Linked DNA regions of Saccharomyces cerevisiae S288C. Changing the gene in region 1 together with any one later gene gives a genetic interaction. Each region holds a gene or a part of one and is shown on either strand. Other genes may lie near its edges.

Evidence for each region. A genetic interaction does not mean that the proteins touch.
Region 2: mutations in PEX21 (region 1) and PTP3 together harm fitness more than expected from each alone (negative genetic interaction), as found in Saccharomyces cerevisiae (2 studies listed by BioGRID).

What each region holds. Positions count from the first base shown.
Region 1 is NC_001139.9:966,335-971,738, forward strand, and holds PEX21 (Pex21p), read right to left. Parts: upstream 3,720-5,404; coding exon 2,853-3,719; downstream 1-2,852. Other genes in the region: KEL2 (Kel2p), read right to left, coding at 1-2,353; PFK1 (6-phosphofructokinase subunit alpha), read right to left, coding at 4,437-5,404. UniProt on the Saccharomyces cerevisiae protein: Receptor that mediates peroxisomal import of proteins containing a C-terminal PTS2-type peroxisomal targeting signal via its interaction with PEX7.
Region 2 is NC_001137.3:307,913-312,891, forward strand, and holds PTP3 (tyrosine protein phosphatase PTP3), read right to left. Parts: upstream 3,288-4,979; coding exon 501-3,287; downstream 1-500. Other genes in the region: YOS1 (Yos1p), read left to right, coding at 1-44, 156-211; YER076C (uncharacterized protein), read right to left, coding at 4,678-4,979. UniProt on the Saccharomyces cerevisiae protein: Major phosphatase responsible for tyrosine dephosphorylation of MAP kinases FUS3 and HOG1 to inactivate their activity; it also has important roles, along with MSG5, in the inactivation of FUS3 following pheromone stimulation.

The sequences.
Region 1 (5,404 bases):
ACTTCGAGCTTCCATCAGAGAGTTTTCTTAGCGCATCCAACTTGTTGTTATTGTCGAGTAAATTAGCCCGCAAAGAATCTCTTTCATCATTAAGCTTCTGAGTTTCAAGGTGCAATTTCTCTTTAGCACGCACGGTTTCGTGCATTTCATTTATTACTTTTTCTATTTTGTTCAGCGAATCTTTCTCATATATTTGATTATCTTTCTCACTTGAAGGTGGCCGTGCACTGGTAGGATAGCTTTTTAATAATTTACCCAGATAGCAGGACGATTCGTTCAAATAGGTATGAAGTTCGGGGGTTATTTTTTGCATATTATTTACAAGTATTTCGTTCTGGCGCTTCAAAACATCACATTTATTCTCAAGATCGATGATATCCCTTTTAATAGTGACATGTTCGGAGCATGTTTTAAGTCCATTATTTTGAATCGTAATTTGGTCACAGAGTTTACTTGCCTGAGATAATTTGACCATCAATAAATTTTTTAAATCATTAATTCTAGATTCTAAAAAGGTTTTCTGAATTTCTAGATTTTTAAGCCGTGCTGTTTGAAAATTTGAATCTTTTGAAGCTTCTTTTATTACCATGAGTCTCTGGACTTCCTTTTCTAATTGTGAAATATGTCTAGCAGTTTCAAGTTCCTTTTGTTGAGCTTCGAGACGTAATGTTTGTAGGTTCAGGTTTAAATCATCAAAAAGATTTTTGGGAATTCCTTTTTGACATGATGTGTCCTTATATGAAGAAGAGCCATACTCTTCTGAATCCACTGTTAGTCCTCGTAGAACAGGGAAATTTTTTTTAGATACTTTGATACCAGTTCCCGGACTTTCCTTATTGATGCTTGAATCAACTTTGGAAGATTGGGGTTTCTTTTCCTCCCTATCTGATTTTCGTTCAAATGCCTTATCATCCAAAGCGCTGGAGTAACTTCCAGCCCCTTCATCAATATCATTATAACTCAAAACTTTGCTATCAGGCAATCTTGGTGTAAGAATGTTTATTATCTCTTGATTTTCACTTTCGGTAGACTTAGAGGGTGTAAAGCCCCCGGAAAGACTATTAGAAAAACTTTCTCCTGCATGTAGTGATTCACACATTATTCCTGGGCATAGCTCATTCAAAGATGATAAATCTAAGGTATACAGTAAAGTTCCTTCGCCTTGGTCAGTTTCTGAAGTTTGTAGATCGTGAATATTTGGGCTGGCATAGTCAGTTTTGTCGCCACCCATGATAAGAAGCTTCTCATTCTTCATTAAGGTTAAAGAATGTCCAGAGCGTTCTTGAGGTATGCCCTCCTTCATACGGGGAAGCTTATACCATTTTAGCGATAATAAGTTTAAAAAATAGACATCGTTGGAATATGCGTTATGGGTATCCTTACCGCCTAACACACACATTAAATGTTTATACACCACACTAGCATGCTCTTGTATTGGCGGAGGCTTTTCTCCTGTGGTTTTAACTTTAGACCACTCACTTTGTGCTGGATCGTAGCGGTATGTATCATTGCTTATTGTCTTGGGAGTTTCCCCGCCGAATACCCATAATTTGTTGTCATATGCCACCATTGTATGATTTGTTAAAGGAGGAGGCAGGTCGCCGACAGGCTCTAAAAATTCCCAATGAGAATTCGGCCTACGGAATGATGATAAATCAAAGACGACCAGATCGTTAAAATAAGTTTCATCTACTTGTCCGCCAAAAAGATATAGTTTAGTTTGCATAGGGTTGCTAGCAATTATAGAAATTTTATGGCCGTACCTGCCCAACGGCCTACGGCCGATAGGTTGTGGTATGGTCCACTTATAAGAATTAATATTGAAAAGATAAAGATCATCATCCAACAGTCCGTTCTTATTCAGCTTGTGTGTGTCGCCACCAAACACAACATAGGCATTACCGCATATAGTAGAGGCATGTCCCACTCTTGGGGGAGGTGTATTTTGATCAATATCGATTCTCTTGGAAGTAAAGCTCGTACCATCCGCGTTAGCGGCTATTTGCCAGACATCCCCATATACCGATTGATCGTGAAGTCCACCGGTCACAAAAATCCTGTTATCATTCGTAACAATAAATGAGGAAGAGTGTCGATAACGGGGAAACGGAGAGTTTTTTAGTTTGACCCTATTCCAAATATACTTCCCTGTATTCTTACTCTCTGGAGACCAGGGAAGAGCAGTCGACGCGCCTGATATGCCTCTATGCTGGTTTGGAGGTAGCGTAGGTGTTACTATTCGCGTATTGTTTCGATTATCCATAAAAACTATTGGTCTGGGTACACTTTGCGCTGAAATCAGAGAAGGTCCCGTGTCCGTAGGTACCTTATTTGTCAGCTTGAAAGGTACCATAGCTACTTAAGGGGTTGCCTGCCTCATCCAAATCATTTTTTTTTTTTGTTACAACCTATGCTAAAATTCACGTGTACGCATTTCAAAATTGAAAAAAAAAAGAGCAAGCAACACCAAAACCAAACTTCATAATAAATTAGTATCCCAAAAGACCCTTTCACAAGGTAATTACTTCCTTCGAGACTAATTCGGGTTTTGCGAAGCTTTTTTTTTTTTCTTCACAGTTTCTCCCAAGAGAAGAAAAAATTCACAAGCGTGTCATTTCGTGCAGCTTACATCAGCACAATCCATGCACAAAAAAGGTGTAGTAAGTTTTAAACGAGAGAGATGGGCATGACAGTAGGTAGGGCATGCATCTGCAGGAGTGAAGCTGCGATACTCCTCAGCGCAGAGAACACATAAGGGCACATATTCATGATTTTGATATTCTTAGCTATCTGTAAACATATATCAACGTATGTAGTAGTTACAAGAGGTACAATTGTAGAAACTGCCTATATCAATCAAGTATGTCTTTGTGAATTTCGTCCTTGACGAAAATGTGCCTGTTTCCGACCAGTTCCCCGTTGTTGGATGAGAATAACTCGCTTGCGGAATTTCCATCTGCATTTTTCTTTAAAGTCACGTCACCGCTACTAATGTTTCTCATTAACTGAATAAACTTCGACTCAGATAGTTTTGATTCGACAGAGGAGGAAAGAGTAGAAGAGGAGGATGCAGACGAAGGCGGTGGAGTACAGCATTTTACTATATCTGTGGCAATCCTTTGCAGTTCCGACTGATCTTGGTCGAACCATTTCTCGTCCCGACGTGTTATGGGCTCGTACCGCTCTTTTTGAATTTCTCTCTCCAAAACTTGGAACTCCGCGTCGAATTGAAACGCATCCGTTGGGTTGTCCCGGTTTCCTTGGCGTTGCTGTCGAAGCGTCTTTTGAGGTGGGTAAGTGCAACTTGTCTTCCTTATCATACAATTCTTAAAAGGTAAGTGTTGTCTGCTTGAATTCAGGCGCTGCTGTGACTCGTAATTGGAATACAACCTTTTATATTCTGAGCTAAACTCTAGTGAATCGTCAATCTTCATAGACGAGAACTGCGGAACCCAATCACTGGAATCTACAGTGTTGTTTGGAGTAATGAAGGTTAATGGAGAGGGTTGATTTTGATACCTTACATTGTCAATGCCGTCAAAATTACTACCATTATGCAAAAAGTGTTTTTCCACATGCGAGTCTTCAGTGGCATAGTGTGCTGTTAATTCCGTATGGGCCAGCTTGGTGCGTTTTGACGGTATTAAGGAATCATTCTGTATGCGATGCCCTTGTTGGATAATCTTTTCTATCGGGCTTGTATGGCAGACACTGGGCATGGTATTCTAGTTTGGTCTTTATAATTTTTCACCTGTTTCTTTTTGAAACAAAACCAAAGTATGCGGCGTCAACCTTGACTATATTCTCTTAAATATATATCTGCCGTTCTATCAGAGGTTTGAACATTGCCAATGCCTTAAAGAAATATTTAGTCATCCCATCTCCGATTATCGGCACTAGTTTCCATTTTTCCAGCGGAAAGATAAAAAGAAACGGAAAGAAAAAAGGCCGACAAATAAACCAAACGGTATTCGTAGACCGATGACAATACGACTACAATTAAGGTAGCGCGCCTCACTATGATGTGGATCAGCCTCACATTCAGAGCAATTTGTAGTACAGCAAAGTTGCCGATGTCGTCTTCGTGAACCATTGTCAACGCAGATTAAGCACACCCTAAAACTTGAATAATGCAAATTCCATAGCTTAGTTTAATCAAGGCGCCATTATTCCTCAGTTGAAAAGTATATCTAATGGTTAGGATTAGAAATATGTTCATTGCTCATTGTTATGTGTATCATATCGTACAAAAATTATATAAAGAAATAATAATGAAAAAGAGTAAAACAAAGACAAATAGACAAAAATAGAGGATAGAAAAAGAAAAACAACAGATACATAAATAAGTCTTATGACAAAAAAACGATTGTATAAAAATTAAAGTGCATGCCATTTTTACCTCCTTTTGCTTAACTTAAACTTTTCATTGCAATCATTCATTTGTTTTCAGCGGCTAAAGCGGCTACCTCAGCTCTCAACTTTAATCTACCGGACAGGATGTCACCAATCTTGTTGTATTCAGCCCAGTGAACTTCAAAACCCTTTCTTAATTCAACGTTGGTTTCGTTTTCCCAAAGGTTAGCAATTGGCTTGAAGGAAACGTGAGAACCATTAACACAGATAACAGCAGCAGAGTCATCTTCGTGCTCAACAGTTGGTACCTTTTCACCGTGAGTATCGAACTTGAATCTCAAAACCTTAGCGTCAGTGTTTGGAGAAGCTTCATTTTTCTTGTTCCATTGTTCGATAAACTTGATACATTTGACAGCAAATCTGGAAGCGGTGACACGGTCTTTAGAAGATGGAACACCACCTTGTTGAACATGGCCTGGGATAGCAGTTCTAACACCAAACTTACCCTTGCTTGCTTCAGAGATGATGTCAGCCAACAATTGAGTGCTATATACGCTAGAAGCTTGTTCGTTTCTAACCAATAGCTTACCGTTTCTGTTTTCACCTTTGTCGTGACGAAAGTTCTCTTTTAATAGAGTTATATCTTCTCTGATAGAAGCTAAGTCGATCTTCTTTTCTGGAGTGTACACTGAAACAGCACCAGTGATTAAACCAGTGAAAGAAGCGATGTAACCAGAGTGACCACCTTGGACTTCACAGACGAAGACTCTTCTTCTTGTCGCAGAAGCACTCTGTTTGATGTCATCAGTGTAATTGACTAATGCGTTCAAACAGGTATCAACACCAAGTGAGTATTCAGTACCTGGAACGTTGTTAGAAACAGTGGCTGGAATCAAACACATTGGAATGTTAAAGATTGGGTGTTGGGTTCTACCGTCACGCAATTGCTTCAAGGACCTGAAACCTTCAAAACCACCAAGAATAATCAAACCGTCTAGCTTGTTCTTTTGGAAGTAGTAAGCAATGGTACCCAAATCTTCTGAAGCAACAG
Region 2 (4,979 bases), on another chromosome or scaffold:
CAAGGTTGTTCAATTGATTGGCGCCGTACAGACATTACTGAGGAGTATGTTATGTTGATGGAGAACGGTTAAAGTTACATTTCATCAGTTTTTTCCCGTTCTTTTTCACCTTTTGTGAGAAAATTTTACTAACGTTTCGTATATTATTCTTGTAGTACCATTAATTGGAATAAATATACTGGTGATTGTTTATGAATTACTATTGGGATGAACTAAGCGTACGAAGCAAATATTACATACTACTATATACAAGAAACAGGCTCTAATAGTTTTTTTTTCCCTTCACCTTTTCGGTTTTAGCTTTATTATAAAAGATATGAACAAAACCTCCAAGGGTAGTGGTAGCATGGTATGTGAAATTAGAGAGTTCATGCATAACTTGAAATGAAAATAATACTCTGTTACGTAGCTAACTACTGCCAAATATGTATCGAAAATATCAATTATTAAGGGGTTTCGTATTAATAAAATAGAGATCAAATACATTCATATTAGCCTAACTATTGTGGCAATTCTTTCAACTTATCATCCACGAATGTCTGCAAGATCTCTAATTTTTCGATTTGTTCAATTAATGCACTTAATGATATATTGTCCTTGTTACTTCCATCACCATCCGTTCTCTCTGTTATGTCATCAAGACGTAATCTAAAGTAAAATAGCAAGCAGTCATAAATGAAAATAAATTGATTAATGTTCTGGACCATGGATATTCGTTGCTTTCTAAAAATATTAATTGTCCATGAAATTGGATCGAATAACTTTGCCGGGTATTTTAATTTAACAAACTCTTTCTGCAACATTTCAAACATTTCGAAATTGGATAGAATGGAATCAATGGTACACAAAGTACCAGTCCTTCCACAACCTGCGGAACAATGAACCAAAATGGTAGGAAGTTGGTCGTTTTGATAGTAATTTCTGGCAAATAGTGTATCTATTATGTGATTCTTGACATTGATTGCTTGTAAGATTGAGATAGGATTGAGTAAAGTGCCCAAATCAGGCCAATTTTTCACCTGAATCTGTAACAATTCATAAGGTTTCTCTTGATCATGATATGTTAGCAGAATTTTTCTTATGAGAATTGCGTCATCATCATCATCATCATCATCATCACAAGCAGCAGCAGTAACAGCAATATTACTATTGTTATTGTTATTATTATTGTTGTCATTATCATTATCATTATCAGTACTATAGTTACTACTATTTCCCTGAACACCAGCTGAATATAAACTACTATTTTGTGTTCCCATAGTATTTTTCCTCATGCTAGTAGTGCTAGGCATCTTTAATATTTTTTTTTCTAACAATTTAACGTGAATACCGTTATAATTACCTTCTTGCCAATATCGATAACATTTCTCAATGCCATTTTCGAAATCATTTGTCAATGAGAGAACCAACGGAACGCCATTATTCAATATGCATGTATAAAAGTCATGTACAGTGGAGGGCATTGGAGCTTGCGTCGCTATATAGCGCACTCTTCTTGTTGTGGTTGTAGTTGTTTGAAATGACGAATTTTGCTCTACAGAAAACCTTGGCAGAGACAAATAGTTTGCGTTGATATAATTGTCGAGGATGCCACCATCGGAAGTAGAATGTGAATGCTTGATACCTTTTGATGATTGCAAACCTTTTTTTAGAATCACTCTCGAATGCTCGTAGGGAAAAATATCCTTGTACCTGTTCTTGGCTCCTAATTCAACGCCTGATGATATTATAACGTCATCTGACTCCGAATCGGAATCTGATTCAAGGCTGAGCATCGATTTATATTTACTGTATTGAGTGAAGATTGGCTGAGAATGCGACCTCTTTTGTACTTTGTTCACGTCAGGAAATTTTGGAGGCATGATTGTTGAAGAAGAAGTTGATGTTAACTGTTCAGGATATGATGATGGCTTTTCAAGTATAAACGAGTTTTCCTTCTTCCTGAAAGAGACAGAATGGTTCAAGCGCCTTTTTTCCAAAAAATCTAATTTTTGAAACTGAGAAACCAACTCGATCTTGGGTATTGACATCAGATGCTGGAACCATTCAGGTATAACGGAGTCAATGACCTCCTTTTCGTAATTTTTGCTCAGGTTTTCGTATCTGATCTGAAACCCTAGTTTGTCTTTATTAGTGTCCTTTTCTAGAGAATTTTGGTTCTTTGGGAATTGGAAGTTTTGTAAAGATTTTTTGGCAGAATCGTTATTATACCATCTTTCATGTTCTTCTTTGATGTTGACTGCACTCAAATACGTCTCTAAACCCATTATTTCTTCATTTTGCGAAAATTTGAACATTTGGTTTATGTTTGTTTGTGGTGCAGGCAGCTGGAACTTAAATAAGGCAGATATGGGGGAAGAAGAAGACATGGGAGAATCTGATAGGACGTTACGCGGAGAGGGAGAACTGGAAAAGTTTGAATGATCTGACCTACTATCGTCAGGAACTTTCAACTTAAGGTTCATTTGCGGAGACGATAGTGGTGTTGTCGCCGTCATATGCGGCGCTGTGTTGTGTAGACTGTTCATAAGGTTTGTCTTGGGGCTTTTAGGTTCAGCCGAACTAATGCAATCTGAGTTAAATGTGTTGGTGTTTATATGGTCTGGAAATAGAATTTTGAATTGAGGAAAACCACACATTAGTATAGACACGGTTTTTTTAACATTAGTATCAAACTCTATTAGCTTGGACGCTATTCCATAACAAGGTAAAGAAACAGAACTTTCCGTTTGATTTGCGGTGCTATCATAAATGATAATCCGAAGGTTATCGATGGCCAGTTTAGATTTCAACACGCTTTGCTCGCTAGGAGTTAAGTTGTCCAAGAGTTTGGAAAAGGTGAAATTTTTCCTCCTCAGCAGCGTGGAAGGCAAACATACATGAATGGAGTTTGTGATAATGGATTTGGCATGTTCGGTAAACGGCCTAACATCAAGTAAGAGCACCTTTTCATCTGGTAAGGTTTCAATAATCTTGCCCAGTTCTACAGCAGTAATTAGCGAACAACCCTGCGGCTTATTATATCGCTGTTCCTTGGGCTTGAAGCTTGGCAGGACAGGAGCGGTCGCCCTCTTCAATAACACCGGCGAAGATGTCTTATAGCTCACCAAAGGGCTACTGGCTTTGGGGCTGTGGTATATGTTGCTGTTCATGCTGTTATGATAACTGTTCATAGGAGCATGCCTCGAATATACATGCGAACTCGATCCGACCAAAGTGCTAGTCTCGGAAAGCACTGAAGTGCGGTCGGTGGGTAGAATGCTTGGGCAGTCTACACTGTCCTTCATGTTCTATATGATAAGTAGATCTGTGTTGCTGATGGAGAAGGGAGATACAATACGGATTTTCTATGAACTTTGCAGTGATAAGAGCACCTACGCTATTATAACACCGATGTTAGAATAATATGCAAGTTTGTGGTCTGTGTATACAGTTCTTTGTTTGTGCTTGAAGTGATGATGTTACATGTCAAAGAAAGAAAACCGCTAAGGTCAATGAAAATATAGTGTTACATCCGCCGGTGCAAATGGCGAGGAGAAGATTGGACTCTTGCGCATCGAACACTACCTATCTGCATCCATCCATGCCAGGTGCGCAAACTGTTGGGTCTGGCTAACACCACATTCTCGCTGCGCTGTGTTCTCCGATGACGTTTTGCCGCAAAATATTTTTTTCATGAAGGTCTTTTCTTTTCGTTCAGCGTCAGCGGGCCCAAATCTCAAAGTCGCCGCCATTCTGTTTAATGTTTAAAGTTTCCGCTCACTACACCAAGATGGCAGCAGGAGATGCCAGAAAAAGCGTGGGGTCTGGTCTGGTTAGATATTAGAAGTACATACACATCGGTGGGTGTGTAGCAGTGGCGACACATAAAATGGCCATAATGGGGGTGATTTTACGTATAGCATACATAGACATCTGTCGTTGAGGTTCGCTACCAGTGAACGGATTTAACGAGCAAGCAGCGAAAGTAGCCGAAAACCTCTTATTGTTAATAGTCATTTAGCAGCCGTTCTGCTGCTGTTTTCCTGTGGGGTGAGGTGGGCTGTGATTCGGTAAACTCGCTTGCGGTCTAACAAAAACAGAGAAAAACTTGGTACAAAAAGATTTCATTGGACGCAACCGGAATCGAACCGATGACCTCTTCCTTGCAAGGGAAGCGCGCTACCAACTGCGCCATGTGCCCAGAATTTCTGTATGTGTTGGATCTCAACACGGGGTACCTCCGTATAAGCAATTTTAACCCGTAGATGATTTTAGAGTTTCGTTCCTACACGCATGAAAAAGGTAAGATTGAGTATGCCTAAGATGAACCAATCAAAGTTATAAATACCTGAAGAAATGAGTTTAGATCTGTTGGATGGTGAAACATAAAAAACAGAATGAGGAATAATCGTAATATTTTTATGTAGAAATATCAAGTCCATTGTAAGGATTCTAATATCCTCGAGGAGAACTTCTAGTATATTCTGTATACATAATATTATTGCCTTTATCAACAACGGAATCCCAACAATCATCTCAAAGTTCACCAAAAGTCTCAAGATCCGACTTAAATCTTATATAATATGTAGAATTGCCTGCAAAAGTGTACGATTTTACAATAAAAAACGTCGAATTAGCTTTTCGCATACGTCTCAACCAAGAGGAGAGCGGTAAAAATTATGGGAAACTCAATCGTTAACCTTGCGCCTGATCAAAACAATCATTAATAGCCATATTATTTTTATCAACTTCTGGACAGTCAATACTCCAGGGATAATAATGGGACCAAGCATCATTGGCAACTACTCTCAGCTCGGCACGCCAAGAATCACCGTGGCTATAGGTAACACAAAACGCTGTCTTGCCGTGATTGTGCATACTGGATACTGAAACACGAACTGCACATGTTAAATTTCCTTCAGAGGCTGTAATATCACAGCTACTGTTTGTTGACCACGTCTTGACAAACAAACTCCAACCCTCTTGCCCATCAAAAA